Linked DNA regions of Oryctolagus cuniculus. The protein of the gene in region 2 interacts with the protein of the main gene of each other region in a pairwise test. Links are inferred from orthologs where the notes say so. Each region holds a gene or a part of one and is shown on either strand. Other genes may lie near its edges. The genes, in order: MFAP1, LDOC1, CTNNBL1, SMARCD1, ZBTB16, FAM50B and FAM107A.

What was found.
Region 1: the proteins of LDOC1 (region 2) and MFAP1 interact in binary tests that used the Homo sapiens proteins (3 or more experiments, as listed by UniProt). The two-hybrid records come from large-scale screens. The link is inferred for Oryctolagus cuniculus from reciprocal best matches to the Homo sapiens genes LDOC1 and MFAP1.
Region 3: the proteins of LDOC1 (region 2) and CTNNBL1 interact in binary tests that used the Homo sapiens proteins (3 or more experiments, as listed by UniProt). The two-hybrid records come from large-scale screens. The link is inferred for Oryctolagus cuniculus from reciprocal best matches to the Homo sapiens genes LDOC1 and CTNNBL1.
Region 4: the proteins of LDOC1 (region 2) and SMARCD1 interact in binary tests that used the Homo sapiens proteins (3 or more experiments, as listed by UniProt). The two-hybrid records come from large-scale screens. The link is inferred for Oryctolagus cuniculus from reciprocal best matches to the Homo sapiens genes LDOC1 and SMARCD1.
Region 5: the proteins of LDOC1 (region 2) and ZBTB16 interact in binary tests that used the Homo sapiens proteins (3 or more experiments, as listed by UniProt). The two-hybrid records come from large-scale screens. The link is inferred for Oryctolagus cuniculus from reciprocal best matches to the Homo sapiens genes LDOC1 and ZBTB16.
Region 6: the proteins of LDOC1 (region 2) and FAM50B interact in binary tests that used the Homo sapiens proteins (3 or more experiments, as listed by UniProt). The two-hybrid records come from large-scale screens. The link is inferred for Oryctolagus cuniculus from reciprocal best matches to the Homo sapiens genes LDOC1 and FAM50B.
Region 7: the proteins of LDOC1 (region 2) and FAM107A interact in a two-hybrid assay, tested with the Homo sapiens proteins (2 studies listed by BioGRID and IntAct). The two-hybrid records come from large-scale screens. The link is inferred for Oryctolagus cuniculus from reciprocal best matches to the Homo sapiens genes LDOC1 and FAM107A.

What each region holds. Positions count from the first base shown.
Region 1 is NC_091443.1:66,702,024-66,706,316, reverse strand, and holds the start of MFAP1 (microfibrillar-associated protein 1), read left to right. Parts: upstream 1-1,493; coding exon 1,494-1,572; intron 1,573-4,293. UniProt on the Homo sapiens protein: Involved in pre-mRNA splicing as a component of the spliceosome.
Region 2 is NC_091453.1:119,608,574-119,611,998, forward strand, and holds LDOC1 (protein LDOC1), read left to right. Parts: upstream 1-1,317; 5' UTR 1,318-1,681; coding exon 1,682-2,122; 3' UTR 2,123-2,925; downstream 2,926-3,425. UniProt on the Homo sapiens protein: May have an important role in the development and/or progression of some cancers.
Region 3 is NC_091442.1:20,960,757-20,964,881, reverse strand, and holds the start of CTNNBL1 (beta-catenin-like protein 1), read left to right. Parts: upstream 1-1,325; 5' UTR 1,326-1,553; coding exon 1,554-1,583; intron 1,584-4,125. UniProt on the Homo sapiens protein: Component of the PRP19-CDC5L complex that forms an integral part of the spliceosome and is required for activating pre-mRNA splicing.
Region 4 is NC_091442.1:53,425,896-53,429,395, reverse strand, and holds part of SMARCD1 (SWI/SNF-related matrix-associated actin-dependent regulator of chromatin subfamily D member 1), read right to left. Parts: intron 2,255-3,500; coding exon 2,119-2,254; intron 440-2,118; coding exon 317-439; intron 1-316. UniProt on the Homo sapiens protein: Involved in transcriptional activation and repression of select genes by chromatin remodeling (alteration of DNA-nucleosome topology).
Region 5 is NC_091432.1:106,134,240-106,137,739, reverse strand, and holds part of ZBTB16 (zinc finger and BTB domain-containing protein 16), read right to left. Parts: intron 3,027-3,500; coding exon 2,797-3,026; 3' UTR 1-2,796. UniProt on the Homo sapiens protein: Acts as a transcriptional repressor. Transcriptional repression may be mediated through recruitment of histone deacetylases to target promoters. May play a role in myeloid maturation and in the development and/or maintenance of other differentiated tissues.
Region 6 is NC_091436.1:166,404,642-166,408,779, forward strand, and holds the start of FAM50B (protein FAM50B), read right to left. Parts: upstream 2,801-4,138; 5' UTR 2,645-2,800; intron 1-2,644.
Region 7 is NC_091441.1:91,449,216-91,452,715, forward strand, and holds part of FAM107A (actin-associated protein FAM107A), read left to right. Parts: intron 1-300; exon of another isoform or gene 301-546; intron 547-947; coding exon 948-1,122; intron 1,123-3,500. UniProt on the Homo sapiens protein: Stress-inducible actin-binding protein that plays a role in synaptic and cognitive functions by modulating actin filamentous (F-actin) dynamics. Mediates polymerization of globular actin to F-actin. Also binds to, stabilizes and bundles F-actin.

The DNA.
Region 1 (4,293 bases), on a different chromosome or scaffold from region 2:
AGGTGATTTGGCCCTGCATTCACATGGGAGACCAGGAGGAAGCACCTGGCTCCTGGCTTCAGATCAGCACAGCGTGCTGGCCGTAGCAGCCATTTGGGGGGCAAACCGATGGAAGGAAGACCTCTCTCTCTCTCTCTCTCTCACTGTCTAACTCTGCCTGTCAAAAAAAAATTACTGTCCAGCGCCGGGCTCACTTGGCTAATCCTCCGCCTGCGGCGCAAGCATCCCAGGTTCTAGTCCTAGTTGGGGTGCCGTATTCTATCCTGGTTGCTCCTCTTCCAGTCCAGCTCTCTGCTTTGGCCCAGGAGGGCAGTGGAGGATGGCTCGAAGTGCTCAGGCCCTGCACCCGCATGGGAGACCAGGAGGAAGCACCTGGCTCCTGGCTTCGGCCACAACACACCAGTCGTGGTGGCCATTTGGAGGGTGAAGCAATGGAAAGGAAGACCTTTCTCTGTTTCTCATTGTCTAACTCTGCCTGTCAAAAAAAAATAAATTACTGGTGAAAGCAAACTACCACAGCATTTCTGAACTTCAAGATTTTTCTCAGATAGTCCCTTCTGTATCCCACCGCAGCAGTTCTGAAGTCCTTTCTTTGGTGAAATGTTAACTTCAAATTAGTCATTTTTTTGCACAACTTATAAATTGGGGCTGCTTTTGTTATGATTCTAACAGTGTTCAAGACTTCCTAAATAAAAAATCTAGCTTCTTGAAGAAAAGAGCTTTTTAGCCATGTTCCATACTCCTTTCAGAACCCTAAGTATGGTAAACATAAATACTCAATCATAACTAGGACTTAAATACAAACACAGCAGATAGGGACCCAGGAACTGTGGTGTGAGATCGGTATCCTACTTGCTAAACCAAACGCCCATCTGGAATTAGGTATTTGAATTAGACGGTTACCAGAAACAAAGAATTTAAGAGCCTTAAAGTTGAATTGCAGGATCTGATATCGTTTGCCAGGTCCCTTAGGAATTGTGTGTTTGTCTCTCTCTCTGGCCTAAATCACCTAAATACCCTGCCACGGTCCACCCAAGCCTCATCAACTCGTTAATCAGCTCTACAAGATTAGCAAACTCTAGTTCTTCCAAGTTTTCACAAATTTAGACAGTCCTTCACTAGCTCCATCACTATCCCGTCGTCCTTGGCTTCAAACAAGGATAAGGTGAAACTTTTTAATCTCAAACCCGCTATACAGCTAACACCTCTCAATTTCCCGACAGACGAGGTTTCCAAATCCCGCGAGATTAAGTATGCGCGGTCTCTACGAACATGCGCAATAACAGACGCGACCTGTAGGCGCTCAGAAGTCCTCCAGTATCCCACAATCCTCTCTTCATGCTTTTCCGGGTTATATAGCTCGGCCGCAACTAGTTTCAGTCGCGTAGCAGCTTCCGGTGGACCTAGGCTGGAAGGAGGTTTTCTTCTCGCCTTGTTGGTGTTTACTGTTTAGGAGCACTCTGATTTAGGGAATCACCGCCGCAGTCGTCAACATGTCGGTACCGAGCGCACTCATGAAGCAGCCGCCCATTCAGTCTACGGCCGGGGCCGTCCCGGTTCGCAACGAGAAAGGTACTGTTTTCACCCGTCTTCCAGTCGGATCTTACCTCTGCCTGCCGTGCGTCCTGCAAACCTCCCTTGGGCTTCCCATCCCAGCCCCACCGACCCTTAAGTCGGTTGCCAGTTTCTTCCACCTTCCCACCGTAAAATCTCACCCAGTGCGATAGCGGGGCTTGGGGAGGGAGGTGCGGGAGGATCGACAGGCATCTAATATTTCTGAGACATTTCTGCTCTTACGTGCAGTAAACTCTCTGCTTTTGGGCTCCACAAATTCCTTAGGATGAGAATTATGAAAGGCTCATATGTGGTGAATCTGTTAGCGGAGCGTTGTCTTAGCGATCTGTTTATGGTGTTTTTATAACACATCAGTTATTGTAGTAAACGCATAATCTCCTTGATGTGGAACCGTCATCCTCAACTTTGTATCCATTTCAACCATTAGAGTGAATATGTTTAATAAATTGAACACAATGCTGTGTAAGACAGTGCCCCTAACCTTAAGGAATGCATACTCAAGGAGATTTATTTGAAAGGAAGAGAGAGGCGCCGGCGCTGTGGTGCAGCGGGTTGACACCCTAGCCTGTAGTGCCAGCGTCCCATGTGAGCGCCGGTTCGAGACCCGGCAGCTCCACTTCCAATCCAGCTCTCTGCTGAGGATGGCCCAAGTGGGAGACCTGGAGGAAGCTCCTGGCTCCTGGCTTCGGAGCGACGCAGCTCTGGCCGTTGCGGCCAATTGGGGAGTGAACCATTGGATGGCAGACATCTTTCTTTCTCTGCCTCTGCCTCTGCCTCTCTTCTCTCTGTGTAACTCTTTCGAATAAATAAATAAACCTTTAAGGGGGAGGGGGCGGCACCCCGGCTCACTAGGCTAATCCTCAGCCTGCGGCGCCGGCACTCCAGGTTCTAGTCCCGGTTGCTCCTCTTCCAGTCCAGCTCTCTGCTGTGGCACGGGAAGGCAGTGGAGGATGGCCCAAGTGCTTGGGCCCTGCATCTACATGAGAGACCAGGAGGAAGCTCCTGGTTCCAGATTGGCGCAGTGCACCGGCCGTAGCAGCCATTTGGGCGTGAACCAACAGAAGGAAGACCTTTCTCTCTGTCTCTCTCACTGTCTAATTTTGTCTGTCAAAAAAAAAAAAAAAAAAGAGAGAGAGAGACTCCCAAAATTGCTGCGATGGCTCCTGAAGCCAAGAGCCTGGAACTCCATCCAGGAGGTCTCCCATATGGGTGGCAGGGTCCCAAGTACTTGGGCCATCTTCCACTGCTTTCCCAGGTGTATTAGCAGGGAATTGGATTAGAAGTGGAGCAGTCCAGCCCTCTATATGACGTGAGATGCCACTGGCACAAGCAGCAGCTTAACCCACTGCACCACCATGCCGTGTGTTCATGTGTTTTATTAGCTCTCCGTTTTCTTTTCTGTGAATCACCTCTTTCTGTCAGTCATTTTCTGTTTGCTGGAGGGTTTTTGGTTTTGTATGTGTGTGCGTGTTTTATTTACTTCAAAGGCAGACCGAGAGAGAGAGAGAGAGAGAGAGAGAGAGAGAGATTGATTGATTGATTGATTGATTCACTCCTCAGATTCCTGAAACAGCCAGGGCTGGGCCAGGCTGAAGTTAGGAGCCAGGAGCTCCATCAGAGTCTCCCATGCAATTGACAGGAATCCAAGTACTTGAGCCATCACCGGCTGCCTCCCAGGTTGTGCATTACCAGGAAACTGGATCAAAAGTGGAGTTGGGACTTGACCCCAGGCACTTCATTATGGGATGTCGGTGTCCCAAGTGACAACTTAACTGCCTACATCACAGCACCCACCCATTTGCTCTTTTTTTTTTTAAGGATTTATTTATTTATTTGAAAGGCAGAGAGGCAGACAAAGAGGTCTCCCATCTGCTAGTTCACTCCCCAAATGGCTGCAACAGCCAGAGCTGGGCCGATATGAAGCCAAGAGCCAGGAGCTTCCTCCAGGTCTTCTATGTGAGTGCAGGGGCCCAACAGCTTGGGCCATCTTCTACTGCTTTCCTGGGGCATAGCAGAAAGCTGGATCAGAAGTGGAGCAGCCGAGACTCAAACTTGCACCCATATGGGATTCCAGCACACAGGCAGTGGCTTTACTTGCTATACTATAGCACTTGACCCTATTTGCTCTTTTTTTAGATATAACATTCCAGCTCTATAATATTCTTTTCTCTATTTTTTTGGCTTGTCTTTTAACTTTTAATTATCAAGTTCTCAGTTACAAAGACATTTTTAATTTAAGTATTGTCCAGTTTATCAACTTTTATGGTTTGTACTTTTTAAATATATTGTTCAAGAAATTGTTCCCTAGGGGTAGGTGATGTGGCATGGCAGTTGAATCGCTGTTTGGGACATTGATGTTCCAGTTTGAGTGCACAGTTCAAGTCTCTGCTAATTCGCTTCCAGTCCAGCTTGCTGCTAATGTGCCTGAGAGGCAGCAGCAAATGGATCAAGTACTTGGGCCCCAGCCACCCATGTGGGAGACCAAGTGGAGTTCCTGGCTCCTAGCTTTAGCCTGCCCCAGCCCCGGCTGTTGTGGCCATTTAGGGATTAAACCAATGTATGGAGGATCTCTTTCATCTCTCCCTCTGTCACTTTGCCTTTCAAATCAATTTTTAAACATTTTTTATTTTATTTATTTAAAAGGCAGAGTTGCAGGTGGTCGAGAGTGGGGAAGGTAGAGAGATCTTCCATCTGCTGGTTCACTCACCAAATGACCAC
Region 2 (3,425 bases):
GTATTATGACTGATTTCATCATCAGAGCTGCACTACATAATTTGAAGAATCCTTTTGGACACTTTGTGCAGCCACCATTTCTAGTTTTCATCTCAACATTTGCATTTTGAGATGCTATCATTCACCAAACATTAATGGAGACCTTTCTCTGGGCCAGGCTGGCTTCTAGGCACTAGAGATAAAGCAGCTAGCAAACAAAGCCTCTCTCTGCACCAACTTACATTCTACAGTGGAGGCAGATGATGAACAAAGTGCTCTACAATGTGCTGGCCAGGATTATGATGATAAATGTTCTGTATTGAAACATATAAGGTAAGGGGTTAGAGACTGGGTGGCACAGAACAGGGCGCTCTGAGAACCGGAGTGCTCAGGAAAGTTCTGTAGGAATGTAAGGGGAGGAGCCAGGCCTCTAACTGGGAAGAGCTTTGCAATTCAGAGGGATAAAAAGTACAAAGGCCTTGAGGCTGGAATTAGCTGATATGTGTAAGAATCAGCAGGGGGTGGGGTGTGATTAGAGCAGAACTGGGAATGGGAGACCTAGGAGAGTAGGCAGGGCCTTCCTTATAGGGCATGGTCAAGACTTTGTTTTTTATTCTAAGTGACAGGGGAAACTATTGGAGGGTTTTGAGCCAGGGAGGGAAGGGATCTGACTTCTGCGCTAAAGGATTCCCACAGCTACTCTATAGAGAACAGAGTGTAGGAAGAGAAGAAAGCAAGCTAAAAGTGATTGCTTTTAGCGGTCTGGCAATGGTAGAAGTGACAAAGAGGGCTGCATTCGTTGTCAAAAACTATTTGAATATTCACATTCAAATAGAAAAAAACATTAAAGAGCACAAATGTCTTCATGGTTTCCTCATTGTTAAGAATAACAACCATTGCCACAGGCTCTGATATCAGGACGTGAAACAGAGCCACACAGGGAGGTCACCTTAAGCGCTTATCAGATGGTGACTTTGCAGAACTTGTTATAAGCCTCTATTCAGAATTTTTTCAACACTTAGTAATGGTTTCTAAATAAAAGTCCCTGTTCAAATACCGCTTTGCGACGAAAGCCCGGACCCCTTAAGAGTCTTTATGACTCTGAAAGGATCGGTGATTGCAGCAGGGCAGTCAGCAGCGTCAGTACTTCTCTAGGGGAGGTTTGAAAAGGCGATTAATCCTATCAACAAAACATCGCACCCAAGAAACTGGCGTTTGCAGACCCGCGAAACAGTGAATTGTGCGAGTCGGCTGTCTGCGACATGGCGCTCAGTGCCCGCCAGGCCCTAGGCTAACGCAGGCCTCACATCCGGGGCTCGGCCCCATTTCACAGCCTTTACCAGTTCTCCTAGCGAGCCAGCACTTGTCTGCTCTCCGCGACACTGCGCGACCCTGCGCTTCCCTCCCCGGCCACTCCCTCCCTGGTCTCAAGTCCCCTCCAACGGTTCGCGGCAGCCAGGCCACGCCCCCACTGCGTCCTGGCCTCTTCCCCGGCCCCGCCCGCACCTTGCTGCGCCGGCGCGCCGCCTGCCTGAGTGGCCTCGGGGGCGGAGCTTGCGCAGCCGCCGGGACCCCACGCTCGCCGTCCCCCGCCCCTGGCCACAGCACTTTATAGGACACGCACTTCCTGCAAGGCCTCTTGTGTGCATCTTGGCCCAGCGGAGCCTACTCGAGCGAGCCCAGACCTTTCAAGCTGTTCGAGATGGTGGACGAGCTTGTGTTACTGCTGCACGCACTGCTGGTGAGGCACCGCGCCCTGAGCATCGAGAACAGCCAGCTCATGGAACAGCTGCGGCTGCTGGTTTGCGAGAGGGCCAGCCTGCTGCGCCAGGTACGTCCGCCGAGCTGCCCGGTGCCCTTCCCTGAAACGTTTAACGGCGAGAGCTCCCGGCTCCCCGAGTTTATTGTGCAGACGGCGTCTTACATGCTCGTGAACGAGAACCGGTTCTGCAACGACGCCATGAAGGTGGCATTCCTAATCAGCCTCCTGACCGGGGAAGCCGAGGAGTGGGTGGTGCCCTACATCGAGATGGATAGCCCCATCCTAGGCGATTACCGGGCCTTCCTGGATGAGATGAAGCAGTGTTTCGGCTGGGATGATGACGAAGACGACGACGACGACTATGAAGAGGATGATTACTAGGCCCCGAGCCGCTGGGGGCCTATGAGGGGAGAGCCCTGCACGCAGCCACTTCTCCCTCTCCTCCACCCCCACCCCATCCCACCCGACCTCCGGAGCTGCTGCACTCCCCTTGCCTTCCTGTTCTCCCCTCCCCAACCCCCGAAGTGCTTGTCTTTGTTCCAGGAGTAGTGCTCCAGCTACCTGCTGCTGGGGCTGGGCAGGGGCCTCACCCTGAAGCCGGTCATCTGATTTGCCTAGCCCCAGGACCTCTCCCCACCTCATCTGAACTGTGTCATAAGCCCCAGTTATAGGCCAGGCCCCTGTTACAAACTGCTCAGATCACACTGCTGCTGCCACCTGCCTCGCTGCCAGGCCTACACCTGCACAGAGACTCATGCTACCACTGCGCCATCGCCCACTGCAAGCCTCTGACAGATCATCGCTTTTAGAGACAAGGACCAACACAGAAGACTTCTGACTTGGCTACACCTTTTCGGACATTGATTTGGACAGCTCATCGGCCCCTCAAGGGGCTGTTTTTCAACCTGGTTAGTTCCCTACCTACTCCTAGGGTCCTCTACCCAGCCTGAGTGCTGCGGGGACCTGGTGTGCCTGGCAACCAAATTGTTGATGTCTCTTTTCTCTAATGCACAACTGTCGTTTTTCTTTCATAATTGCAGCAGCCCCACCAATGTGTGTGGTTGAACATATGTTTCTAAAAACAAAACAAACAAAAAGCAAAAACGCACTAAGCTCAGCTCCTCAATACTACCTGGAAAAAAAAAGTTGGCATTATTTTCAATAAATATCAAGCACTACAAAAAGTGAGAAATGATTGTCTTTTAATGGTTAAGTGCTATCACTGGCATCTGCCATGCTCACACTGACTCCTGCTATTCCCATTGATGTCCAATTCAATCCCAGTGGTCCCTATTGTCATCTCTAGGCTACAGAGGACAGTTTCCACGGGGCTTTAAAAATATTCCAATGCTTCCCTTACCAAGGCATAGCTTAAAGCCCAAACGGAATGTCTTCTGGGGCCTCCAGGGTGGCATGGGTAAGGGGTGGCTGAGCATGTGGCTCATCATCCCAAACCAGGACACTTTTGAGAGTAAAAGGGGATGCTATTACTAATCATGGTGACACAGCAAGCGTATAAACCTGGACACATGCATGAAGGGGCTTCATGAAGTCCATGGGAAAATGGAACTAAAATAATGTACATTTTCAGTGAACTTTGTGAAGCCCCCAGTGTGAGCCCTGCTTGTCTTTTGGGTTCCTTAACACTGTCAGGGAAGCTCTGTCCCTTAACCCTTATTGCCTG
Region 3 (4,125 bases), on a different chromosome or scaffold from region 2:
TGACCACCCCGATGTGTAGCAGTCACTGGTTCACAGTGTGGAAACACTCCCAAACGTCCTGAAAATAGAGCCGTATTGTGTGAGCCTTCTTACACCAGCTGGCCCTGCATATCATACATTAGAACACAGGGCTGCTCGTGTCCAGGTCTGTTCTGCCTCAGTGAGGAGAAAGGTCACCCGAAGCAAACTCGGTTCAAAGCAGAGTGTACAGACGAGCCTTAAAAAACAAACCAATCACAGAACTGCCTTCCCATGCCTGTGAGCACACAATCCAGTGTCTCCCAAGGCGCACAAGGCCCTGGCCTGGGCTTTGGAGACACACAACCCCCACGATCCTTCTCTCAAACAGCCTTCGCTCCAGGACACAGAGGCTGACGGACAAGAACCAAGCAGCCAAACGTTGAGTACAAAATTACAGACTGAGACACAGACCGTGGAACAGGCCCCAGGGAGGATAGGGACCGGGGAGCCGCTGCCACTTGGAGTGTGGTGAGTTGAGGAAGCCCACTCTCAGAAGGCGACACTTGGTATCAGATGGACCAGTGAGTTGGATGAGGCGTGGCGCTACCAGCCAGGCAGAAGAGAGGATTTGAAGAATGAAATGAATTTCTGTGCAGCTTGAGACAGTGGGATGGGATTATAGATATGAATGTGAAGGGCAGGGGCTTATGGGGAGGTTTAATTCCCTGGGTGGAGTCTGGAAGACAGAGTCTCAGAAGATGAGATGCACTCTTTGATTGTCTTCCAGTGACGGGCAGTTTCTCCTCCAGAAAACCCGTCTGCACCACTTGGATCAGCTCCCAGCGGCCTTGCCTGGATGATCAGAAGCTTGGGAGGAATCCACGACCACCCCCAGGTGCGGTGGCAGTCCTGGCTGTAGGCCCTGGCCCCTCACCTTTGGAGCTAGCCCTGCCCATCGGAAATACACATGAGACCCACAGATGTAAAAATCTTGCAGCCACGTTGAAGGAGTCAAAAGATACGAGAGAGATTAATTTTCTCATCTATTTTATTTGGCCCGAACATTTCGACGTGTCATCAGTCTAAGTCTTGGAAACCCCGTGTGCATTCTGGCTGGATTTCAAGCGCGCGATAGCTACTCTGTGGCTGCGTGGAACATGGTGCTGGCCTATGCCGTTCTGAGCCTCAGTTTCCTTACCTGGATGAAATCGCCTGGACCACCGCAGGGCTTGTGAGAGCACACGTGAGGCCACACCACCCCGCCCTACACAGAGAGGGAGCGCATTAAATCCCGGCTCCCGCCGCCCCTTCTCTCCCCACGCCTCCCTCCTCCAAGTCTCCGCCCCCTTCCCCGCCCCTTTCAGGCTCCAGGCGGAAGCCGTACGGTCACCACTGCGGCGCGCTTTACGGTAGCGCTGCCTTTTTCCGCAGTGTGGCTGCTCGCCTGCCGCACGCACTTTTACCCTATTGGCTCTGCGGGGCCTGGCACAGGGCGCTTTTCGGCAGTGTGGCTGGAAGCGCTGCCGAGCGGCCCGCGGTGTGGGTTTGAGTGGAGGGAACGAGCGGATCGGCTGTTGCCTGGACGGGGAACTATGGACGTGGGCGAACTTCTGAGCTACCAGGTATGAGGGACTGGGGAGACCGGGAGACTGCTCCTCACCGGGTCGGAGATCGCAGGGCCAGAGTGCCTTGGTCTCACCTCGTCTCATCTCCTTCCGGGCCCCCTCGCTTCTGACCTCATCTCACTTCACTCCTGCAAACTTCGCTAGTCCCTTCCTATGCCTGCTCCGGGCCTGAGCCCCTTTGCCTACTCGCACCCCATCCAGAGGTCTGGTTCCCATCGTCCTCTCCCAGCGGCCGCCACCGCCGAGTCGTTGAGTTTGTGCCGCTAGCCTCAGTTTTCTTATCTGCATAGTGGAGACGGTTTCAGCTACTTAGTAGAGTTGTTTGAGGTCTGTGTCAGCTGCTGAGCGTGCAAAGCTGTGCCCGAGTTGGCCGCCCTTGCTGGGAGATGCTCGTAATTCCAGCTTGGGCTGGGCCCCTGGGAAGCAGGAAGGCTCCCTTGTTGGGGTACTTGTGGGAAAACGGGAGGCCGGGCCGAGGTCCCTGAGCAGGTGAGAGCCGGGGTCGGAGCGCAGGTATCCTGACTTCAACCTCGGGATTCATCGCTTCTCTGATTGCCTGAGAGGCTCCGCGTGGGAGGCCGCAGAACCGCCCTGCCCGTCCGGGGTCGGTAGCCGCACGCCCTCCCGACCCCTGACGTGTGGCCAGTCAGAGCTGAGGGGTACTGTGAGTATGAGATCACACTGGGTTCCGAAGACTCAGCGAGAAAAAAGGAGTGTTTTTATAGGATTTTGTGATCACGCTGAGTCTAGCAACCACACTGATTATCGATCATATTGATTAAGTGATCCTATTTTGGATAATGGGTGAAATAAAATACATTTAAAACCAATTTTACTTGTTTCTGTTGACTTTCTAAAAGATGTATTTATTTTTTACTTGAAAGACTGAGCAACAGAATGAAAATGGGAGAGGGAGAGGGAGATAGAGATCTCTGTCTGCTGGTTCACTCCCCAAATGGCAGCAACAAGCTACATCTGGGCCAGGCTGAAGCCAGAAGCCAGGAACTCCATCCTGCTACAGGGGCGGCAGGGACCCAGGTACTTGGGCATCTTCTGCTGCCTTCCCAGGCGCATGAGCCGGGAGCTGGATCAGAAGTGGAATGAGTGCTGTGGTATGGGATGCCATCATGGCAGGCAGTGTTTTAACCTGACTTTTCAATGTGGCCACTAGAAAATTCTAAGGGGCTGGCTCTGGCAGAGTGCGTAAAGCTGCCGCCTGCAGTGCTGTGGCATCCCTTATGGGCACCAGTTCAAGTCCCAGTTGTTCCACTTCACGGGGCCGGCGCTGTGGTGTAGCAGGTTAAGCTGCTGCCTGCAGGTCCAGCATCCCATAAGGGCGCCAGTTTGAGACCTGGCTGCTCCACTTCTTATCCAGCTGCCTATACCCACATGGGAGACCCAGGGAGACCCAGATGAAGCTCCTGCCTCCTGCCTTTGGCCTGGCCAACCGTGGCCGTTGGGCCATTTGGGGAATGGACCAAGGGATGGAAGACACCTTTCTCTCTCACTCCCTCCTTCCTTCCCTCTCCCTCTGCCTTTGCCTTTCTGTGACTCTGACTTTCAAATAAATAGATAAATATTTAAAAAAGTAAGTTCCATATACTGTTGGCCATATTTTCAGTAGGCAGCTCTGCAGTCAAGAATAAGTGATTAAGAGCCATGTGTCTGTAGCCCCAGGTTGTGTGGAATATTTGGCCACTAACTGGCTGCTGTAACCTTGAAGAGACTGTTTAACCTTTCTATTCCTTGTTTTCCTCATCTGTGAGTGGGGCCGATGACGGTACCTTTCATAGGGCTGCTGTTGAGAAATGTAGACCAATGCTTGACAAAGTGTAAATGTTCAATAAATTGCTAATTATTTTCATGCCACTGCCTTAGCCAATATACGGAAACGCCACCCTGGGGGTTCCAGACGTCTGGGGAAAGAACTTGTGGAGCACGCGGGGGTATGCGTAACTCAGAGTTCTTTTAGACAATTGAGTAGACTGTGAAGGAAGGAAGGAAGGAAATAGGAGGGTTGTTGAATGAGTGTTCATTCAGGGTTCCAGCAGGAGGTGTGCCTGTTTGGGAGCGCTGGTGTAAGAAGACAGGGTGTGGGGCCAGCCCCGTGGCTCACTTGGTTAATCCTCCACCTGCGGTGCCGGCATCCCATATGGGCGCCGGGTTCTTGTCCCGGTTGGGGCCCGGGTTCTAGTCCTGGTTGCTCCTCTTCCAGTCCAGCTTTCTGCTGTGGCCCCGGAGGGCCGTGGAGGATGGCCCAAGTGCTTGGGCCCCTGCACCTGCATGGGAGACCGGGAAGAAGCACCTGGCTCCTGGCTTCAGATCAGCGCAGCGCTGGCTGTAGCGGCCATTTGGGGAGTGAACCAACAGAAGGAAGACCTTTCTCTCTGTCTCTCTCTCTCTCTCACTGTCTATAACTCTACCTGTCAAATACATAAATAGAAAACAAAAATTGAAAAAAGTTATTAAAAGAAAACAGGGTGCAGATGGGTGCCTCCTCACACAAGGCATCACGTGTAAGAAAAAGGGGTACAGAACA
Region 4 (3,500 bases), on a different chromosome or scaffold from region 2:
CAGTTCTAATAATGTCTTAACTTGGTTCCCTACTCTAATCACACTGGCCTGGTTTCTCCAGACTGACGGCTGCGCTGAAGGCAGAGCCAGGCCTTGCACCGCAAATCCCCGATGCCACAGAGCACGGACACTAAGTCAGCACCCGACAGCGTGCCTCTGCTTCCCCACTTCACTGTAACCTGGACCCTGGGGCGTGCTCAAGCAAACCTGGGTGCACTCTCTCTTCCCTGCCTGGCTCTTCCACCAGGTGCTCTGCCATAAAGCAGACGAGTGCCTCGCAGATCTGAGGCCCGCGGATCAGCCCCGGCTTCCTTACCTTGAGGTCTCGGCACTGGGACTGAAGCCAGTCATTGATGAAGCCCTGGGGGTCTCTGGCAAAGCTTAGCATGAACTCTCGCTGCGTCTTCAGCTGGTTGATGGTTTCTATCGTCTCATGGATCTGAAAGCGAGATGGAAGCTATACCAGTTTCAAGCTGGACAAACAGAATGAAGCGGCACCTGATGTCTCTGTGTGTCACTCCTGGCCTAGATCCAGCTCAGAGCCAGCGCCACTGCACAGGGTGCCAACTGCTCCGGCCTTGGGGCTCCCCAGCAGGTGATATGCACCTGTTTCTGTCTCTCTGTTTACCTCCTGTGAGAGAAGTTTCCATTCTCGACTCCTCAATACATACCATGGGCACAGCTGCAAAGAATACTTAATCCAAGCAGAAACAGGCGCCAAACAACTGTGAGGTGGAAAAGGAGGCGCGCAGGGCTGGCTCAGCAGGTGTCTGGTTCCCAGCTCTCTCCTTGTTCTGCACACTCTTCCTGGCAATGTCTGTCTTGTACGTCTTCTGTGTACACCGACAGGGGAACAGCTCCCCAGTCAGCAGTCCATTTCCTGAACGCCAAGCAGATTGGCTACTGTCTCGACATTGCAAGGCATCTGACGCTCACCACATCCAAAACGAAGTTCATGGCCCTCTCCCCGCACCTGCTTCTCCTCCTCTGCTCCCAGCATTGCCCATCACTGCCACCAGCCTGGGAGTCCTCTCAATGCCTCCCCCTCAGCACTCCACCCCTCACTCCCATCTAAACAGTGGCCAAATCCCTTGATTGCACTTGAGGCCCCGTCAAGCCTGTCGACCCGTTTCCAGCCTCACTGGGCACGCCTTATGTTGAAAGCCCCAATAGCTCACACACGGATTACTGTACCAGCCTCACTGGGGCTTCCGGCGGCTTCCAGATCTGCCCCTCTTTCTACTTCCTGCCAGTGATCGCTCCAGATGCAACAGCGCCCCCACCTCCACTGGGGATGCTCGCCCCAGCAGACTCCCGGCCTCCTGTCCAGGACGACGCGCAAACCAGTTCTCCCTGCACCAAAGCTTCATGATCAGGCTCCTGTTTCCCTGCCCAGCACCCTGTGCTGTGTCTAGAGCCCTAACAGCTTGTTCTTCTTGAACACGCCGGGCTCTCTCTCACTTCTGGAAGTCTATAGAGCCCACTCCATCTTTCTGGACTGCCCTCTGCCCCTAAGGTCCCCGGCCCTGCTACCCTTCCACCCCTGTGGGAACTTCCATGTGGTCGTTCAGGGTTTACTAGTGCATCAGCTCTCCCTGTTCTCCCCTGGATCCCCAGTGACTTCACTGTCCGGGACTCTGTCTACCGTTAGTAGGAGAATGGAGACAGCAGCGACAGCAGCAGGATTTCCCACTCTTGTTCTTACACGCCGGAAACACACTCATGTCTTTACACACACGATTTCATTGACTCCGAATGGCAACCTCCGAGGAACAGGTGTTAATGGTCCCCACTTCACAGATCAGAAAGACGGAGGCTTAATGCTATTAAAAGGGGCAGCCAGAGTCCAGAGGAGGGGATTCATGGGGAGGTTGACTCCAATCAGCACCAACCACGGCACCTGACAGACGCTGGCTGTCCACGTATTGGGGAACCCTCAAAAAGATCCCAGGAAACGCGCATGCAAAAGCACTCCGATGCATCTCCGAATTTCCTCACGTCACAACAGATCTACCTCTCAATTCCGTCCTTCATGAAGTGCCCTTTATTCAGAATGAATACCAAGCAGCAAAAGGTGGCCTGCTGGCGACAGCCACGCTATCTAGGCGGGGCCCCTACCTTGTTGTCCAGGGTCGCGATCTCCTGCTGGCTGGCAGTGGACAGCAGGAAAGAATTCATCTGAGTCTTCAAGGTGTCATCCACCTCCACGTCAATGTCGTAACAGGCTGTCTTCTTCTGATCATTCGGGTCAACACTGGGGAGGGAAGCAAACGGCCTGGTGAGGGGTTTGTCCCAAGATCTGACAACACAGCATCAGGGACAGGAAAAGGAGCCGACTCCAAAAGGGCCTGAGGACTTTCAGGTGTGACAGAACCTTCTCGCCTTTCATTGCAATGGCAGCTTCCCAGTGTACACAGGTGCCCAAAGTCTTCAAACTATACTTCAAATGGCTACAGTTTACGAAATATAAATTACTCCTCGACAGGGCTGGCTTTTTTACAAAGTCAAAGGTAAGGAACGGGTAGTTGGCACAGTGATTAAGACAACACTTGGGGGTGGCCAGTATTGTGGCACAACAGGTAAGGATGCTGCCCGCATCCCATAGGAGCGCTGGTTTGAGTCCCAGCTGTTCTGCTTCTGATCCAGTTCCCTGCTACTGCCTGGGAGAGCAGAAGATGGCCCAAGAACCTGGGCCCCGTACCACCCACGTGGGAGACCCGGAAGAAGCTCTTGGCTCCAGGCCTCAGACTGACCCAGTTCCAGCTGGCGAGGCCATTTGGGGAACGAACCAGCAGACGGAAGACATCTCTCCCTCACTCCCTGTTCTCTGTAACTCCACCTTTGAAACAAACACAACTTTAAAAAAAAAAAAAAAAAAACCCTCTTATTTATTTTGAAAGTTAGAGTCACAGAGGGAGGGAGACAGAAAGAGACCTTTTATCAGCTGGCTCAGTCCTCAGATGACTGCAACAGCCAGCACTGGGCTAGGCTGGAGCCAGGAGCTTCACCTGGGTCTCCACATAGGTAGCAGGGGCCCAAACACTTGGGTCATCTTTCTCAGAACACTGGCAGGGAGCTGGATCGGAAGTGGGGCAGCCGGGACTCGAATCAGCGTCCATATGAGATGCTGGTGTCACAGGAGGTAGCTTTATCCACCTAGCCACAGCGCCAGCCCCAACCTTTGACGCTGAAAATAATGTGTACACACACACACATCCCTAACTTTAAGCACGGGAATACAGGACAGACCAGCTCCAGTGCCAACTTATAGGGTATAGGAACTGCTACCAGGTGAGTGATGGTTCAGGCCCCTGACTGGATAGAATCTGCAGCAAAGCGAGGAAGGCAAGACGATAACTACAGAGAGACGCTGTCTAACTACAGAGAGACGCTGTCTAACTACAGAGAAATGCTGCTCTGAGGAGGAAGTACTCTTCTTCACTCCGTATCTGCCTAGAAGTGCCTCGCTCTCTAACTTGGGAACAAGAAAAGTGAACAGA
Region 5 (3,500 bases), on a different chromosome or scaffold from region 2:
GACTGGAGCCTCCCTCCTCGGGGTGACTTGGGGCTTGGTGGGAGCAGAGCAGACTGTGCAGCAAGAACAGGGATGGGCTTGTCCAGCATCCCTCAGAAACGATCCCCCCCACCCCCCGACCTCCAAACCGGGAGAGGCAGGCAGGTGCAGACCTAGTACCATCTAATGCTGCAAGACCAGATCGAGGCACCTCTGCGTGATTGGCCACACACACAAAGCACACGCACACGTGCATACACAGGGACACTGTGGTGGTGGTGTGGATTTTGTTTTCCCTATTCACATTACAAAAGGAAGGGCCAGGTCCTGTAGAACTGATGGAAGAACAAATATTACAAAAATATTACAATTTGTAAAGAGTAGCTCACCCCTCTCAGCTTCTGTGACCAGGGGCAGGGGGAGGCCAGGCTGAGTGGGAAGGGTAGGGGAGAAAGGCCAGCTAGTTCTAAGGAATAGTGGGGTTATTTTTTTAATTTCCCCTCCAATGCTGAATGACATCTTGCCATTAAAAATACTGTTTTTTTTCCAGATGCCTTGAAGGCCCATGAAGGAGGGAGGAGTGCACAGTGGTTTCTTACCCGGCCCCTCCCCCAATGATCCTGCTCTTTTCACATTCTCAACATGACAGGTGAATCTCTCGTCCTTTTCAAAGCACAAAGTCATAGTTACTCCCTACCTTACCTGCCTAACCCAGTCTAGTGGCACAGCCCCCCTCCCCCAGGTCCACTGCTCCTCCCATACGGTTTTTAAGGCCTTCAGATTCCATAGACAAGACAGGAGGGGTGGGGCGGGGGAGGGTGGTCTCAGCAGCACCCACCCCTCTGACCTCCATGTGCTCCTTCACCACCCTGCTCCCCCCAAACCACTTCCTAAAACCTAAGATCCAAACGCAGCCACAACTTTCTCAGAAAGAGAAAGGAAAGAAAAAGAACACAAGTCAAACTCCTTACACAGAGAGCATGAGATGTAACAGAGCATCACCCCAAAGCCGACGTGGAGATCCCAAGCGTGCTTTCCCACACTCCGAGGGGGCGGGGCAAAGGCGGGGAGCAGAGCAGCCAACGGGGGACAAAAGAACACTTGGATGAACACAAGAGGTAGCTTTTGGAGAAACCACACCTCCACCCCAACACAACAGAACTAAAAGCTGGCTCGTCCCCAGACCAGCCACAGAAACCTAGAGGCTCTGTGGCAGTGGCCATGGACACAGGCGGGCGAGCCCTCCCAGCTGGCTGGCCCAGCAGAGTGGTGGAAAGAAAGGTGGGATTTTCTCCTGAGTGTTTTGGGCTGATCTCCTACAGGGCACTGAGGCTTTAAGAGCCTAGGATGGAGGCCCCTGTGGGGGCAGCGAGACCCCGGGGCACCATCCCCTGCGCCCACCCTCCCATTCAGATCCTGAGCACTTGACTCCTCCACACAGTGCCTTGTGGCTGGGAGGCCCAGGCCAGCTGAAGTCTATAAACTATTGATTTACACAAGAAACAGAAAAGGATACCCTCCCCGTTCCTCCAACCCCCCAACCCAAAAAAAAAAAAAAAAAAAAAAAAGCAGGGGGTGAAAAAAGCTCATGAGGTCACAAAAAACTGAGGTAATTCAAGTACAATGTGCTGACAGGGGACACAGAAAAGAAGCAAAACATGACACAAGGCCAAAACACTTTCCACTCCTCCCTCTACCCCAACCCCAACCCTGTGGACTGAGGGGCCCTGGAGCTGGGCTTCTGTGCTGCTGTCTGCACCCGGACGTCCCCAGGGCCTCACCTTGTCTGGGGGACCCCGGTCCCCACGTTGAGGGGGTCCCTGATACGGCCTAACAGTTCAGGCGGAGCGTCTGTTCCCGTGCGCAGGTGTAGGGCCCATCTGGACAAAGACACCCCCATGGCTCCCCCTGGACAATGAGTCTTTCTTGGACTCTTTCCCCTAGCAACTGAAGAGGGCTGGAGGGACTGTTTGCATGGTGGGGAACTATACACTCGGTGGTTACGATTTTCCATTTTGGAAGCAAAAAGCAGCTTGGCGGGAATCTCCCTTGTGATGGACGAAGGGGCTTGACTGGCTGGGCTAGGCTATTCCATCCCTTCCGTTCTGTGTTCTCAAAAGCAAAGGCAGGAGGCAGCTCCTCAACCAGGACACAGGCGAAGGAAGACAGTGCCTCCGAGAGTCAGAGCCAGGAGGAGCCCGGAGTGCCCCCAGGTCCTGACTGCCCGCAGGGCATGAGGAGCTCAGCCCAGAGCCTCGGGGTTCTTGGAGGCCAGGAGGGGATGCTCAGGGGTGGCAGGCGGGGAAAGCAACAGGTGAAAGTTGAGTGCTGGGACGAGCCAGGGGCTCTTCCCCTGTCCCATCAGCCACTGGGAAGCCAGAGCTGCCATCATGAGTGTCGACCGAGGCCCAGCCCTGCCCCGCCAGCTCAGCCTTGTGTCCGCTGCTCCCCTCCCTCGGCTTCAGAGGCAGTGGGACGAGGGCAGGCAGACTGGGACCAGAGGCCCTCTCCCCTGTCCCCCGCCTCCACTTCTGGACACAAGAGGCGGCTCTGGGTAGAGAGAGAGGGAAAGGCTGCCTCCATCTGAGTGAGCAAAACCACCCCCGCCCTACCCTCCCAAGAAAATCAGGCCCAGGAAAGAAGGGGGAAGGGGCAGTGGCGTAGCATCCCAGGCTCCAGAGCCCCAGGGAGAACCCAAGGCCCACCAGCTTTTCGATTTCTTTCTCTTCTCTCCTTTCTTCCTTTTCCGTTTGTGTCTTTGCGCACAGTCCTTCCTCCACGTCGTCCCGCGCTCCTCCCCCGGCCCCGGGCGCCTCCTCACACGTAGCACAGGTAGAGGTACGTCTTCTCTATCCTCCAGTCGGGCGGGATCTCCTCGGGCTTGTGGCCCTTCATGTGCTTCTGCATGGAGGAGAGGCTGGGGCAGTACTCCGTGCAGATGGTGCACTGGTAGGGCGAGGCGCCGTTGTGCGTGCGCAGGTGCTTGATCATGGCCGAGTAGTCCCGGGAGCGCTGGTGGCACAGCTTGCACTCAAAGGGCTTCTCACCTGCAGGATGGTGGGGGGGCAAGACGGGGCAAGGAGAGTGAAGCAGGCACAGCAGTGGGGCGTAGGCCTGGTGCCGGAGGCCTCCGTCCCTCCAGCTCTGCACCGCCCGGCTATGGTGTGTCTCATGCTGCTGGCCCACTACACTTTTTACTTTATTGTGATGTCACACGTGTGGCTACAGAAATGCTCAGCATAGCCCCAGCCCCCTGTCTTGCTGGTCTGGACTCTTAAAAGACTTGGCCTCTTCCCTTCCTAAGTAAAGAAAAGGACGTACCTGGCGAGGGCTCCTCAGGTCACAGTGCCCCCACTCCCTGTTCAGCAGCAGGACCATGGATGTGGGGGGTGGGGACAGGAGAAGTCAGTCCCTCCAACACTATCCCTGTTCTGCCCCCCCCCCCGCCCCCGACTAGAACTGGGGGGGGGGGGCAGGGACTAAGAAGCTAGGGGTACAAGGCCACACCTTAGCCTGCTCCT
Region 6 (4,138 bases), on a different chromosome or scaffold from region 2:
GCCACAGCGCGCTGGCCGCGGTAGCCATTGGAGGGTGAATCAACGGCAAAGGAAGCCCTTTCTCTCTCTCTCTCTCACTGTCCACTCTGCCTGTCAAATAAGAAAAAGAAAAAGAAATAATTTACATCCTCAGAAAGTTGGGAATCTCTGTGTGAGGTCTGACTCAAACTGGCTGCAGTAAAATATTAGTGACTGGCGGGGGCTGGCACCGGGGGCTCACTTGGTTGATCCTCCCCTGCGGCGCCAGCATCCCATATGGGCACCAGTTCTAGTCCCAGTTGCTCCTCTTCCAGTCCAGCTTTCTGATGTGGCTGGGAAGGCAGTGGAGGATGGCCCAAGTGCTTGGCCCTGCACCTGCATGGGAGACCAGGAGGAAGCACCTGGCTCCTGGCTTTGGATTGGCTCAGCGCCGGCCGTGGCGGCCATTTGGGGATTGAACCGATGGAAGGAAGACCTCTCTCTTTCTCTCTCTCTCTCTCTCTCTCCCACTGTCAAATAAAAAAGAAAAAATAGCGACTGGCCCGTCTGCAGAGGGCAAGGTCACATGGGCTGTAGATGCGGCTGGCTTCGGAAGCGCAATGCCCTCACATTCCTGCTTCCTGCTTCCTGGCCGGGCGCACGCTCCCCGGGCCACGCACTGCTGTCTGCCATGCTCCAGGGGCTGCCAGCTCTGGCTCCCCGCTCTGGAGTTCAGTCCCCCGTCTCTCACCACATCTCTCCTTGCTCCGTCCAGGCCCTGTGACCAGGTCAGTGGTGAATGAGAATCTAAAGGGCCGACACTGGAGTGGGAGACGGAGTGAGCCTGGGATGCCTGGGGCCAGGTGGAAGCTCACCCAAACAGGAATTGGCGTCGGCAGGAGGAAGGGAGGTGGACGCTGGGTGCTCACATTAGCATGTGCTCACCACAGGTGGTCCTCTTTCATGGTTGCAGGAACCCTGGGACGGTAGTCGCTTACCAACTGATTTATTTAATTCAAACAGTGAGAGACAGTAGGAGAGACAGAAAGAGACCTTCCAACTGCTGGCTCACTCCTTAAATGGCTGCAACAGCTACAGTCGGGTCAGGGTGAAGACCCAAGGACTTGGACCATCATCCACTGCTTCCCAGGAGCGGTAGCAGGAGGCTGGATGAGGAGCAGCCAGGACTTGAACCAGAGCTCCCATATAGCATGCCAGTGTTGCGAGCATTGGCTTAGCCGGCTGTTGCCACAATCCCAGCGCCCAGTGTCCTTATTTCATAGACGGGGATACTAAAGCCTTCAAGAGCTGTAGGACTGACCCTCAGACACTCCCCTAGCAGGTGGCAAAGCTCAAGTCCAGATCTCCTGGCTACATTCTCTACTGTTCCCAGTATTGTAAATTACCACCTATGGGCTTAAAACCACCACCGGCTGGGTATAGGAGTTCTACAGCCTCCTTGGTATCACTAGGAAGCCAAGGAAAGATGTGAGCCACAGGAGGCTGCGGCTCCTGCTGGGGCGGGGACACCGCGATGGTTTCCACCACAGCGGCTCTGAAAGACTGATAGTGAAGGGCCTGTTCTCCCCAGCCCGGACTCCCCAAAGCAGAGCACGGGCCAGGAGCTTTTACTCACGGGCAGTTTATTTGGGAATGTGTTGCAGGGAGCAGGAGGGTTTGCTGGGGGGATGAGGCGGGAGGGTGAGAAGGAAAGCCAGGGCCAGCTAGGGAGCCTCCTCTGTAGATGACTGCTTGATCCCACAGGGACTTTCACGAATTTGAAATGTGTCTCCGAGCGGTTGTGTTGGGGGCTGGGGGGAGGGGAAGCATTTATGTAAGAGCTCACGGCCCCAGTGGGTGATGGTCTTCCCACAGGATGTCGTTAACCCCACGTGAGTGAGTGTCCAGGGGGTTGCCTCGGGCATCCTGGCCAGCCACTGTACCGGAGCAGCCAGAGACAGGAAGTGAGGGCACTCGGGTGTGATGCTGGTTAGACAGCTGCTCAGGAAAGAGAGAGGGCCCGAGGACAGAATTTGAGAGACAGAAAAAGCGATCGAGAGCCTCCTTTGACCAGTTCTCTTCCCTAAATGCCCACCATGGCCCAATGGCGGGGGCTGGGCCAGGCTGACGGTAGGAGCCAGGAACCCAGTCTGGGTCTCCCATCTGGGCGGCTGGGACCCAAGAACTTGGGCCATCACCGCTGCCTCCCAGGGTGCTCTGTAGCAGGAAGTGGACATGAGCGGAGCTCAGACGGAAACCCAGGCACTTCTGTAGCGATGCGCGTGTGCCTCCTGCCAGCCGCGAGTCTGCCCTGGGATCAGAGGGCCGCATCACCAGACCACATCAGTGGTCGCCTAGAACACTAGACGTCTCCCATACGCAGTCCGTGATGAGCTAATATTTAAAAAGCGATGCACACACGAGCCCTAAGGCCTGTTTTCCTAGTTCAGAGCTGCAATGTCACAACCAGCTGCTAAAACTGCCCTCCTAGTACCCCCACTCAACCACTGAGGGGCCCCGAAAACACAGCAAGGCTAGAAGGCTCCGTTCCTCCCCACCGCCCTAAGCTAAGAAACCAGACCCTTGCTTGCCGGTCAGCGTCCTTCCGGCTAGCGTTTGCTGTAGCTGAGCAGCTGGGCGTCCTGCTACTGCCCCAGCTGGACAGCAGGCAGTCTGATTTCCTTACCGTTGGGTGAGCAGAGCAGGCGATTATCCCTTCCCAGTGCCTGTCCCGATAAGGCTCCCTCTAACTGACAGCCATGGCAGGCAAAACACATACAACTGCCGTGGCAGTCACTGACCAATCAGCAGGAGGCCTGAGCCGTTCCGTCTGAGGTCGCTGTAACTGCCGCCGGGGTTGACCAGTTGCCTCCGCCCTGCCCCCAGCTCCACGCATCCTTTTGTCTCTCCCTTGTTCTCTGTGAGGTTTTCCTGGGCTGCTCCTGCACGGATGCTCTTTCCTTCTGTGAGGTTAATTAGGGCTCTGTGTCCAGAATGTTACTGCAGAGGCTCATGTGACCAGCACCACTTGGGATACCTGCACTTTTTTGGCAATGAGAGATAGAGATTAGAGACAGAGGTGATAGAGAGTGCTCCTATCCACTGTTCACTTCCTAACAGTGAGGCAGAGTGAAGCCTGGGATGCCTGGGGCAAGGTGAAAGTTCACTGAAACAAGGATTGGTGTCTGGGCCTGGTGCTGTGGAGGAGCGGGTAAAGCCGCCGCCTGCAGCGCCGGCATCCCATATGGGCGCCAGTTCGAGTCCTGGCTGCTCCACTTCCGATCCAGCTCTCTGCTGTGGCCTGGGAAAGCAGTGGAAGATGGCCCAAGTCCTTGAGACCCTGCACCCCTGTGGGAGCCCTGGAAGAAGCTCCTGGCTCCAGACTGGCATTTCCTCAGGACAGCAAAGTAGCCAGAAGGGAAGGTGACTGCCCCTGAGAACACAGGCCCTCCAGCTCTCCCGGGCCCTGTGACGCCTGCCAGCCCTGGGCCCATCTTCACCACGGTGCAGGTGTGGGTTGCAGCAGTGAGGCACAGACACAGACATCCCCGGGACAGTGGGTGGGGACACAGTGGGACGCTGCCCCAGATGCAGAAGGCTTCATATGACTGTAAAACCGAGACACGGGTGCGCCCTGAGTAGCTGAATTCTGGGGAAACGGGGAACAAAGCAGGACTCTGCACTGCTTAGAATCTTCAAAGAGCGCATCTCACGCAACCTTCTGCTTCCGTTGTCTGGTTTGTAACACCAACCGCTTGCTATTCGTAGTAGACTCTTCTTTAACTCACTCCCCAAAGAGAGGGCAGCTGGCAAAACTTTTTAGAGGTTTATTTATTTATTTGAAAGGTGGAGTGAAAGCGAGCGAGTGAGAGAAATCTTCTATCCACTGGGTCACTCCCACATGGCTGCAACGGCTGGGGTTGGGCTAGGCTGAAGACAGGAGCCAGGAGCTTCAGCTGTGTCTCCCATGCAGGTGCAGAGACCCAAGTACTTGAACCATCTCCTGCTGCCTTCCGAGGTGCATTAGCAGGGAGCTGGGTGGGAAGCAGAGCAGCCTGGACTTGAACTGGCGCTCCAGGATGGGACGCGAGCATTGCAGGTGGTGGCTCCACCCACTGGGCCACAATGCCGGCCCCCAAATTTCTTGAATGAATGGATAAGTGAGAAAGAAAAGGCAAAA
Region 7 (3,500 bases), on a different chromosome or scaffold from region 2:
CCCACGTCCCACGTCAGAGCGCCTGGGTTCAAGCCCCAGCCTTGGCTCCTGACTCCAGCTTCCTGCTAAAGCAGACCCTGGGAGGTGGCAGTGATGCTCAAGTAGCTGGATTCCTGCCACCAGCGGCGGGCCGGGGTGGCGGTGGGGGGCTGGACTGAGTCCCTGGATCCCAGCTTTGTACAACGCCCACCCCCCAGATATTGCAGACACTTGGGGAGGGAGTTGGCAACTTTTTTTTTAATTTCTACAAAAACATTTCCTCTCCTTCCCACCTTCTCTCTTGCTTTTGGACATTCCAAGGTTAAGGAACCAGCTTGTAGAAGAGGGAACCCTTAGGTCTGAATTTCAACTACACTCACCACTTTCAAACTGCCATGGTAGAAGTGAGGCCATCAAGTAGCCAGCCGGTTGCATCAAAGATGCCAGCCATCCCTTTGTAACGAGTGGCACAGCCCCTGCCTCGCACAGCCTCCTCTTTGGTCCACACAAAGTGAAAAGCTAGACATTCCCACCACAGCATTTGGAACTACAGATGGAGAAATTAGGGTTAGTATTTTCACCCCTGCATGTATCCAATCATCTTTAACAAGTACCTATCACTTTTTATCTATCTTTCCTTTTTCTGTTTTTCAAGTTCATTGAAACACACAAACTCACACCTAATTCCCTTTCTAGTCGAAGACACTTTTTTTGTTTTTTTTGCAATCAAGCCAGAAAACATATGCAGGTCCCAACCCATTTGCTGTAACCCAGGCTCACTTGCTTCCCTTCCCCAGGTATCTCACAAACACTATCACCGATCCTTACAAGCCCATGCATCGGTCCAATCACTGCCAAGATCAGGATAGCGAGGACCCCCTGACATGAAACCCCCACCCTTCAACGGTGCCTGCTGGGCACAGGCGGGATTGGGGGCTCAGCTCTAACCCCTGTGCCCATCTCCACAGCCTCCATGTACTCCGAGATCCAGCGGGAGCGGGCGGACATTGGGGGCCTGATGGCCCGGCCAGATTACAGAGAGTGGAACCCGGAGCTCATCAAGCCCAAGAAGCTGTTGAACCCAGTGAAGGCCTCGCGGAGCCACCAGGAGCTGCACCGAGAGCTGCTCATGAACCACAGGAGGTGCGGGTGGAGTTGGGCTGCCCTGGCCCGGCTGGAACAGGTGCCCCTCGGGGAAGGCAGCCCTGGTCTCATCCTGGGCTCCTGGAGGCCGAGGAGGGCTGGGGGTGCCCTCCGTGGTCAGCACGGACACTGCCAAGATCCAGTCTGCAGAGGGTCCCCAAAGCCCTGTACACCCAGCCATCCACTTCACGCCAGCACCCCAGGGGCGTCCACCAGGAGCACAACCAGAAATGAACCCAGTTCCCACACTTGCAGAGCAGATGCAGGCACAAGCAGGCAGGGATGGTGTTTCATAAATTTTATTCCAGAGGCAGAAAGAGGGGGATCGTCTGTCTACTGATTCACTCTCCAAATGCCCTCAACATCCAGGGCTGAGCCAGGCCAAAACCAGGAACCAGGAATTCAATCCAGGTCTCCCACGTGGGTGATGGACTCAAGTACTTAAGCTATCACCGGCTAGCTTCCAGGCTGCACATTAGCAGGAGGGGAGCCAGGACTCAAAACCCAGCCACTCCCATACGGGGTGCCTGCAACCTCAATAGTGACTTCATCACTGCACGCAAAGTGGGTCTGGAAGCCCAGTGGAGGAACCTGGGAGGGGTCCAAGGTGACTGCCTGCAAGAGTGGATGCCTCGGCTAAGGCTCAAGTGGGGACGGGGTGAGCCAGGCTAGGACGTGGGCGTTGCATGGCAGAGCGGGAAGCATGTGCAAATGAAGCCACACAAGCAGCTGGGTGTGGCTGGGGCAGAGACTGAGAGGGGCAGCCAGGAGTAGAGCTGCAGAGTGACGAAGGCATAAGCAGTGGAGGCACACCATCTGGTCAGCTTTGGCTGAGGTAGGGGAACGGACCCGCCACACTGGAGGCGGCAAGCAGGAAGCACAAAAACCCAGTATGATGAAGAGGGGCTCCAGGGACAAACAGGCTGTGGCTGGGCTGGAACTCCACAACCGATAGGCGAGGGTGGACAGGGCGCAGCAGAACCGGGAGGAAGGCGGCATCGCCGCCTTTGTCGCTCCCTCTGCTGGCCGGTTCTGGTATTGGAGCCGGTTGCGATTTCCCTTCCAGTTTTCAGGAGTGACCAACATCCTTTTGTGCCTGGGTAGTTTGGGGTTTTCTATTCACTCGGTGTTATTACAATAGCATTTTCTCTGATTGGCTTTCAGAGGCATCGCATTTAATATCAAAAATGTCACCACAATGAAAAGCAGAAGCTTAAAGATGAACCAGGGGAAATATGTGCAATATTTTACAATATTTGCAATAGATTTTATTGGAAAAAATTTATATGCAGAAAAAATTAATAAATTCTGATCTCTTAAAAATCCACAAGGAAAAGATAAGTGAGCAAGGGGCACAGCGCTGTGACATAGTAGGCTAAGCCTCCACCTACAGCACCAGCATCACATACGGGTGCCGGTTCGTGTCCTGGCTGCTCCATTGCTGGTCCAGCTCTCTGCTTATGGCCTGGGAAAGCAGTACAAGATGACCCAAAGGCTTGGGCCCCTGCAGCCACATTGGAGACCTGGAAGAGCCCCCTGACTCCTGGATTAAGATAGACTCAACTCCAGCTGTTGCAGCCATTTGGGGAGTGATTCAGTGGATGGAATACCTCTGTCTCTCCCCCTCCAACTCTACCTCTCAAATAATAATTTTAAAAAAATAAAAAACAAAGATAGATGAGCAGAAAGCAGATACAACTAATTCACACAAAAGGAAATGCAAGGAGTTACTAAACTTATCAAAGCCTGTTCTATGTAAAGACACAAATGAAAACCAGACATTTACCTATTTGAAAGGCAGACAGAGGGAGAAAAGATCTTCCATCTGCTGGTTTATTCCTCAAATGCCTGCAACAGGTCTGGGCCAGGCTAAAGCCAGGAGACTAGACTTCATCCGGATCTCCCAGTGGGGAGGGTGGGTGGCAGGGATCCAAGAACTTGGATCATCTTCCACTGCTCTCTCAGGCACATTAGCAGGAAGCTGCACCAGAAGTGGAGCAGCCAAGACTCGCTCCAGCAGCCTATATGAGGTACCATTGTTCCAAGTGGCAGCCTACCCCATTGTGCCACGATGCAGGACCCCAGGTATTATTTCTTAGCTACCAGATTTGCAAAGGTAAAAGAGATTGGCTGGTGGCAGAGGGGAGAAGCAGAAGCTCTTGTGCGCTGTTGACAGAGCGGACAGGCTTCTAAGGGACAGACAGAAATAGGAATCCAAGATCTTCCCTAAGAACCTGATGCAAGAACACCACCTTTAGAAACTCATCCAGAGAACCTAAGCAGGAGCGTGCGTTCGGCTCAGAAGTTGGGATGCCCACAACTCTGGCTCTTGACTCCAGCTTCCTGCTAACGAAAACCCTGGGAGATGGCCACTGATG